Linked DNA regions of Callithrix jacchus. The protein of the gene in region 1 purifies or fractionates together with the protein of each later gene. This does not show direct contact. Links are inferred from orthologs where the notes say so. Each region holds a gene or a part of one and is shown in the gene's direction. Other genes may lie near its edges.

The links.
Region 2: the proteins of SATB1 (region 1) and TRIM47 purify together in Homo sapiens (affinity purification with mass spectrometry; 4 studies listed by BioGRID and IntAct, with this or other methods). This does not show direct contact. The link is inferred for Callithrix jacchus from reciprocal best matches to the Homo sapiens genes SATB1 and TRIM47.

The regions. Positions count from the first base shown.
Region 1 is NC_133518.1:57,115,552-57,119,972, reverse strand, and holds the start of SATB1 (DNA-binding protein SATB1), read left to right. Parts: upstream 1-1,400; 5' UTR 1,401-1,406; coding exon 1,407-1,617; intron 1,618-4,421. UniProt on the Homo sapiens protein: Crucial silencing factor contributing to the initiation of X inactivation mediated by Xist RNA that occurs during embryogenesis and in lymphoma.
Region 2 is NC_133506.1:131,771,653-131,775,896, reverse strand, and holds the start of TRIM47 (E3 ubiquitin-protein ligase TRIM47), read left to right. Parts: upstream 1-1,285; 5' UTR 1,286-1,318; coding exon 1,319-1,993; intron 1,994-2,937; coding exon 2,938-3,033; intron 3,034-3,310; coding exon 3,311-3,541; intron 3,542-3,702; coding exon 3,703-3,901; intron 3,902-4,244. UniProt on the Homo sapiens protein: E3 ubiquitin-protein ligase that mediates the ubiquitination and proteasomal degradation of CYLD.

The DNA.
Region 1 (4,421 bases):
CTTAAGGTTGCTTTTAAATCTCTAGATTAACATTGCTGTCCCCCTTTTCTTGATTATATGGTAAGAAGTAGGCTATGGTTAAACAGAAGAAAAAAATGTTTACAGAAAAACCATGCTGATACAAACTGGCTTTCAACAAATCCAGATTTAAATAGCTTCAGTATAAGAATTTAAAACAAAAACAAGCTATGTCAAATTACTAGACAGCTAGGAAAAATGGTAATTATTCTCTGGTTTTCCTAAATATGAAACCCTTAGTTTTATGAGCTCAATACTTCAAACACCATGAAAGTTCATAAAATAATTCTAATTACCTGTTCTTATCAATCCTAGTTAAAACTATACTTTAAAAATGACTTTTATATTGTCTAATCACTTTACTGTAAATGATGTGAAAATTGATGTCTAATACATAACTGAAAATAATTATCTGTTAATGTTTTGAAGTTAATTATGATGTTAACGCCATTGCATGCTGAGGTTATTTCTGAATACTGGATATTTTGTTTTACCATTATCATCAAGGTTTTTTTGTTTTTTTTTTTTTCCTATAGCTTGACACTTCAACCTAATGTGCATATCATGAACTATATTCAATTTTTAAAAAATATTTATTTTTAACAGCCCTCTATTACTAATGTACACCTAAATATTAACTCTAAAACACATGAGTTTAATGCATCAGTACATTGGATATTTGAAAACCTTTCACTTCTTTCTGTTTGCTTAGGGGTAAACTGATCCAATCATGTGTTTGACCCAAAACTTGACTAGGTCTTTAACAAGTCACATAACTCTTGAAACTTTGGTAGTAGAAAACTTTTTCTAGGCATTAACTTATGCCACTGGGGAGTTTAAAAAGCAGTTAGATGTTTGTTACTTTCTTTAGAGCTGGTTTATGTGTTTTTTATAAGAATTAAAACATATGTAAAAATAGAAACATATACATTAGATTTCTAATATTTTGAACTGTGATAATCTTTCCATCCTTTATTAAAGTGTTTCTGCTGTCTTTTTGTAATGAGTTTCTAGTTGTTAAAAATTGGGACTGCATAAATACAATTTGCTGTTTTCTTTTTAGCTATACTTCTGATAATTCTAAAAGTAAGCCCATTTTTCCTCGCTTTTTTTTTATAGGCCAATTACCTTTTTATTCATGTGTATTGGTACAGTTTCCACAGATCATTCTGTTAATTTGAATAAGAATGTAGGGCTATTATCTAGAAACATAGTAACATCTGTATTTTATCTAGAAAGGCCATTTTACAAATACATTATATTAGTAGAGAGAGATATCTAGAGCTAAAACATTTACATAGGACACATATATGCATACGGGTCCCCAACCAATTGTAACGTGTCTTCTTTTTAAATTCTGGCAGGTGATCTTTAGACAGTGACTGAGTATGGATCATTTGAACGAGGCAACTCAGGGGAAAGAACATTCAGAAATGTCTAACAATGTGAGTGATCCGAAGGGTCCACCAGCCAAGATTGCCCGCCTGGAGCAGAACGGGAGCCCACTAGGAAGAGGAAGGCTTGGGAGTACAGGTGCAAAAATGCAGGGAGTGCCTTTAAAACATTCGGGCCATCTGATGAAAACCAACCTTAGGAAAGGTAAATACTCTCAAGCCAAATCCTGGAAAGCTGAAAGCCCTGGTGTCTACACAAGGCCACATTGTGTGGGGGTGGAGTGGCAGAACATGTTTTGTATACTCTGCCTTTATTCTCTTTCTGATCTTAAATTAGTTACATTCTGGGTCCTTAGTATCAATCATGTTAGAAAGTATAGGCTCCATGCTTGGGTGGAGCATTTTACTGTAGTCTGGAATCATTGGACATTTCAGATTCTAAGGACTGAATTAAATATAATGGTCTTAGTTTACACAGGGGTCCATTCACAAGGTGTTACAGTAGAGGATTGTAGGCGGCTGTTGCTTTAAACTAACCTGATTAAGAATAAAACACTTAGGTGGTTTGAGAGCTACCCTAGCTTCTTTCTAAGATTTTTGGTTGTAAGGCAGTTTCAGAGATCTTAAAAGTCTTACACAGAAGTTTGTCATGTTATTTTTCGTGGCTTATTTTCTTCAGAGAAAATTCATTAGTATTGAAAAATCTGATGATTCTGGTCTTTAATTTTTGTTTTAATTGGGTATGCTTGATGAAGAAAGAACAGATTTAGACAAGTTTAAAGGGGAAGATGTGTAACTGTGTGACTCTTTTCTATCAATATTAAATTGATGCGGTTTAACAACTTTGACTGTGTTTAACAGTGTTGTTCCTGTAAAGCAGTGCCTCTCCCGGGTGTAATGCCTGTGCCTCATAAGGAGCTTCATTCTGTGTCTAAATAACATGTATAGGAATCAGATTTTCCTTATAATAGCTAAGCAATGGATTAAAAATGCTATATTTTAGCAACCAAGAATATTAAGTAGCTAAAGTTAGAAGGCAGAGGAATTTCATTGTGTTTGATGCATAACATTTATCATACAATCATTTATTTTTTCCTTGGTTTGGCGAAAACAAAGAATATATTGATCCTGAAATGAACAGACACAGCAGTCCGTATTGTTAGATCTTTATCTATTAAAAATGGAAAAACAGCACTTCAGCAAATTCTTTGGCCTCTACTCATGATTACCCTATTTATTGATTGTTTGCCAAGAATGTATGCATCTTAAGAAAGCCAGGGTAAGAGCATTAAAAATATAATTTATTACGGCTTTTCAAACAGAGTACATTAATATTGTACTGTGAAGCACTGGGGCTCTATAAAAAAGACTTTCTGACGCCTGCAAACATGTAAGTTCCATAAATTCCTAAATAGGAGATTTCAGCTGTCTCTGGTATTATGTGATATTTGCACAGCAAACTTTAATGCCAGGACAGTTTTAGACAAGGATTCTACAGACTTCACTGCTCCTTATGGCAGACGTGCTGTTTACACAGGCTCATAAACCTTCAGCAAAAGCTTCTAAGACTGCCTTCAGGTTTAAATCATGTGGTATTTTTAGCATTCAGCAGTGACCAGTGCTCTCCCCTTTAAATGCTGGAAGGTTATGAAGTCGCTGTAGTTGGAACTCTCACCGAACACTTGCACGAATAATCAGACAGTTCAGAGAAGGCTTATGTTCAGCGTTATTCCCAGGAACAGGAGGGTAACCGCAACAGTTTGCTAGAAGATCTGTAATTAGATGATACTCTTGTTACTTTATAGACATCTTTATTATTTTAGGGTACCTCTAAACATAATCGATAAAATCCAAAATAAATCCAATATATTTCAATAGTTTGAAAACCCTGCAGTTCATAGGTCTAAGGAAAAGCATATTGTAGAATACATCTGTTTAATCCTTCAAAAGGAAGAATCAATATGTGTGTTTTTGTTGTACTTACTCGACTCCTTGAAGATATCAGGACAGGAGGAGGAAGAACTAAAAGTACAGTAAATTCACTTCCTGCTCAAATGCTTTTTTGTTTTGTTTTTTGGATGTATGCTAAAAATGCAGTTTAATTGTAGAAGGGCCTCAGATACTTCAAATAACAAAATTGCTAAAGCCTTTTCATGGATTTTTATTAATATTTCCATCTTATTTTTCTTGTGCATGGTTTCTGTCTGACAGGTGCTAGATGAAAATTATGGCTGAGATGAGAAAGCACTACTAAGAAAAAGGGATTGAATGTTTTTATTTGTTTAGGCGATTTTGTCAAAATATCTTCAAGCCAAGGAAGAAATCACCAGTTTGCGTATTGCTATTTTTGCTGTGGTCTCCCCAAGTTGTCTTCTGATCCCTGACGGGTTCTCTCGCTGGTATAAAACAGCTGAATGAATGACAAAAATATTGGCAAGCTCTGCAGCTTGTTTTTCATGCTTATCCTATTGGTACCTCTGAATGAGTTTGTGAGTTTTCCTAAGTAAACCTAAAGGGGTTTATTTGTCAGAGCTAGAATCTCTTGTGAACAGTTCACTAAAGCTTTGGTGAAGACTCACATATAGAAAGATGTAGCTGTTTTATTGCCGGCTTTTGTTCAACAGAAACAGCAAATAGAGAATCTCTAAAGAGCCTCTCTGGTGTCAGTAGGAAATCCTGATTTTTAGCTACGGTTGCTGTGTACTACATATCTTCAGAAGTTGGTAGGATTCTGTGAGTCCAGAGGACAGAGCTTACAGAGGCATTAGTATTGTAGGACTAATTGTGGATCCTGGGTGCCCTGTTAAAGTAACCCTTGTCATCATTTATGCTAAAGATGATACCCTTCTGGCAGTTTGCCACAGTACAATTCAGATGCATCTGCTTTTAACCCTTTTCCGTTATCATTGGAAGTCTGACAGTGAGCTGCATAAACACCTTGAGTACTACAGCATTCCGTAATATCAATTTCTAGAAGAAGCATCTTGCTGATAGTGAGTGCTGTGGCTT
Region 2 (4,244 bases), on another chromosome or scaffold:
ACAGGCATCCACCACAGTACCCGGCTAAATTTTGTATTTTTTAGTATAGACGGGGTTTCACCATCTTGGCCAGGCTGGTCTTGAACTCCTGACCTCATAATCCTCTCGCCTCGGCCTCCCAAAGTGCTGGGGTTACAGGCGTGAGCCACCACACCTGGCTAGATGAGGTTTAAATACTTCCAGTTGGGGAACTCTCCCCAGCTCCACCACAGGTGCCCCTGAGTGTCCAGGGACCAGAACTAAATTCCTCAGACAAGGGACTGGGAGAATGATGTCAACTTCCCATTTCAGGTCTAGAAAAGCCCAAGTTCCCCAGCGGGGTAAATAGAGTCGCTAAAGGGGCCAGGCTCGGTGGCTCACCTGTAATCCCAGCACTTTGGGAGGCCACGGTGGGTGGATTACCTGAGGTCAGGAGTTCGAGACCAGCCCGGCCAAAATGGTGAAACCCCGTCTCTACTAAAAAATACAAAAATTAGCTGGGTGTGGTGAATGCACCTGTAGTGCCAGCTATTCAGGAGGCTGAGGCAGGAGAATCGCTTGAACCCGGGAGGTGGAGGTTGCAGTGCACCAGAGATCGTGCCACTGTACTCCAGCCTGGTGACAGGGTGAGAATGCATCTCAAACAAAACAACCCAAAAATTAGTTGGGTGTGGTGGCGTGCGCCTGTAATGCCAGCTACTTGGGAGGCTGAGGCGGGAGAATCACACTTGAAACCAGGAGGCGGAAAATGGAGTGAGCCAAGATTGCGTCACTGCACTCCAGCCTAGGCGACAAGAGGGAAACTGTCTCAAAAAAAAAAAAAAAAAAATTGCTAAGGGGCAAAAACAGACGCACATCAGCAGTTATTTTTCTCTGCCGTCAGCAGCTCAGGAACTTTGCTAAGGGTGCCAGGGAGGGGTCGAGAGCAAAGGTGCAGGCTTGACACTGCTAGACCGGCCCAGCCCCTGCGGAGCCCTGGCCTGGCCCAGAGAGACCAAGGGGATGGAGGCTTAGCGCTTCCTACTCCTTCCGCTGTGCCCCTCGGGTTCTCCGCCCGCGCCCCCTCGGTTTCACAGCCTTTCGGCAGCGCCCTTCCCTGAGACCACGCAGACTCCCCTGGGGGTTGCGCGGGCTCAGAAGCCTCCACGCGTCGTCTGGGTGGGGACTGGGAGTCCGCGGACCGGCGGGAGGGCCGGCGGAGCTGGGGGCGGGCCGAGCTGGGGGCGGGCGGGGGCTGGAGCCCTGGCTTGAGTCCCAGTGGGCGGTGCGGCGGCGCGAACGGCCCCGGTCCCTCCCAGGCGGGAGCAGAATCGGCGGAGCCCTGGGCGGCCGCGAAGCCATGGACGGCAGCGGGCCATTCAGCTGCCCCATCTGCCTGGAGCCGCTCCGGGAGCCGGTGACGCTGCCCTGCGGCCACAACTTCTGCCTTACCTGCCTGGGCGCTCTCTGGCCGCATCGTGGCGCCGCTGGAGCCGGCGGACCCGGAGGCGCGGCCCGCTGCCCGCTGTGCCAGGAGCCCTTCCCTGACGGCCTGCAGCTCCGCAAGAACCACACGCTGTCCGAGCTGCTGCAGCTCCGCCAGGGCTCGGGCCCAGGGCCCGGCCCCGGCCCGGCCACCGCCCCGGCCCTGGAGCCCTCGGCGCCCAGCGCGCCACCCAGCGCCCCTGAGCCGTCGGCTCCCTGCGCTCCGGAACCGTGGCCGGAGGGCGAAGAGCCGGTGCGCTGCGACGCGTGCCCCGAGGGCGCGGCCCTACCCGCCGCGCTGTCCTGCCTCTCCTGCCTCGCCTCCTTCTGCCCTGCGCACCTGGGCCCGCACGAGCGCAGCCCTGCGCTCCGCGGACACCGCCTGGTGCCGCCGCTGCGCCGGCTGGAAGAGAGCCTGTGCCCGCGCCACCTGCGGCCGCTCGAGCGCTATTGCCGCGCGGAGCGCGTGTGCCTGTGCGAGGCCTGCGCTGCCCAGGAGCACCGGGGTCACGAGCTGGTGCCGCTGGAGCAGGAGCGCGCGCTTCAGGAGGTGGGGCGCGGGGACACTCGGGTGGGCCGGGAAGGGTGACGGGGGCGCTGAGGGCCTTGGACCGACCCCCCAACCTTCCTGGGTTGGATCTTAATTTCCTCCTCCCTAACCCTTCCAGCCTTGACAGTGTCTTCTGTTTGCGGTGGTGGAGATGGGAAGGGAGGAAGGAGGGACGTGAGAACGGGACAAGGACTCGAAGAGCCGGCAGGGGACCTGAAGCCGTGCTGGGGTCCATGGGAGTGTAGGCGGGAGGGAGCGGGGTTCTCGCTGCTGCTCCCGCCAGCCGCTCGCGCTGGGCTCAGCTCAGATTTGCGCTGGGCTGAGGCAACGGCTTTCGATGGGTGTGGTGGGTGGCAGAGGGCGGCCAGGCACACAGAGCCTCTGTCCAGCTGTTCAGGGGGGCCTGTGGTGGGAGCATGTGCGCGGTGGCCGCTACCTCCCGCCCCCAGTTTCCTTTGGCCTCAAGCCCGGTCTTGGCGCCTCCGGCCTTGGGATTTTCCGTCTCTCCTGCCTGGAGCAGTGACTCATAAGACTTGGGGGATTTGCCTGGAATCCCCTTTTTTTCAGGCCTGGACTGTGGATGCAGGCCCTGTGGGAACAGTGAGCCCCAGGACAGCTTAATGCCTCCTTGTGCGGTCACCCCTCACCTAACTCTCTTACTCTGTGCCTCTTCTCTGGGAGGAAGTTCTCAAATTCATCTGAGCCCACACTGAGATCAGAGAGGGGAGGCAGACACCCACATCCCACAGGTGTTCAGGAAAGGCACCAGCCTGGGCTGCAGGCACGTCTGGCATATGATGGGACATGGTGGCCACTCCAGTCCCACCCAGTGCACAGATACCACTCCCTGGTCACCCTCTTCTCTCCCCTGGCAAGACCCGGGACCCTAGTGCAGCGCTGTGGCTTCTGCCAGACCTCACACTCATGGAGGGTGTTGTCCACAGGCCGAGCAGCCCAAAGTCCTGAGCGCCGTGGAGGACCGCATGGATGAGCTGGGTGCTGGCATTGCACAGTCCAGGCGCACGGTGGCCCTCATCAAGGTCAGACTCCCCTCCCCAGCCTCCATCCCTGTCCTCCCCTGCAGCGGGCATACTCCTGGCAGTATATGCTTTCAGAACGGAACAGTCCACTCCAAACAAGCCATGCCCACACCTACTGAACACAAGTGTCCCCTGACCTGGCCAGAGCTAGGGCAGGCTCAGGCTGGCCCCTCTGTCCCCTCAAGAGGGCCATTGGGAAGCTGGCTCAGGGAAGGAAGGGGCCAAAGTCCAGGACTGTTCTTTGCCCTCACTGCCACCCCACTGTCATCCTGTGCAGAGTGCAGCCGTGGCGGAGCGGGAGAGGGTGAGCCGGCTATTTGCAGAGGCTGCAGCCACCCTGCAGGGCTTCCAGACCGAGGTGCTGAGCTTCATCGAAGAAGGGGAAGCTGCCATGCTGGGTCGCTCCCAGGGCGACCTGCGGCGACAGGAGGAACAGCGCAGCCGCCTGAGCCGAGCCCGCCAGAACCTCAGCCAGGTCCCCGAAGCCGACTCAGTCAGCTTCCTACAGGTGAGGGCCGCTCTGGGGGCCACAGAGGGAATGGAAGCTGGGGCAGGTGGGGTGGAGGGAGGATGAGGCAGTGGTGCATGACCTCCTGGCAGAGCTGCCTCCACCCCCAGCAAGGAGGACCCATGGCCAGCAGAGCTTCAATGGGCATTTGTCTGGCACAGGAGCTGCTGGCGCTAAGGCTGGCCCTGGAGGAGGGGTGTGGCCCTGGACCTGGCCCCCCGAGGGAGCTCAGCTTCACCAAATCATCCCAAGCTGTCCGTGCAGTGAGAGACGTGCTGACCGCGGCCTGCGCTAGCCAGTGGGAGCAGCTGAGGGGGCCGGGCGGCAATGAGGACGGGCCACAGAAATTAGACTCGGAAGGTGGGCAACCCCCTCTGATGACTCACCCTCTCCCAGCCTCCTGCACAGGCCCCTGGGCCTGTGGCCCATCCAGAAGTAAAGGAGGACAATTGTGCCTGGCACAGGGAGGGGCCCAAATCCTGCCAGTGGCAGGAGCTGCCACCCTGAGGGATCAGTCAACCCCTTGGACCACAGTTTAGGGCAGAGAGGTCTTCTGCTAGCCCACCCTCTAGCTGCAGAGGGGCTGTGGCCGGGAAGCACGTGGGGCAAGGGGCAGAACACAGGAAGCCAGCATGCAAGTGAGCACAGCGTGCCATGTCTGGGTGGTGGCTCTGGACTCTGGGAGGAAGTGAAGGGAGAAGGA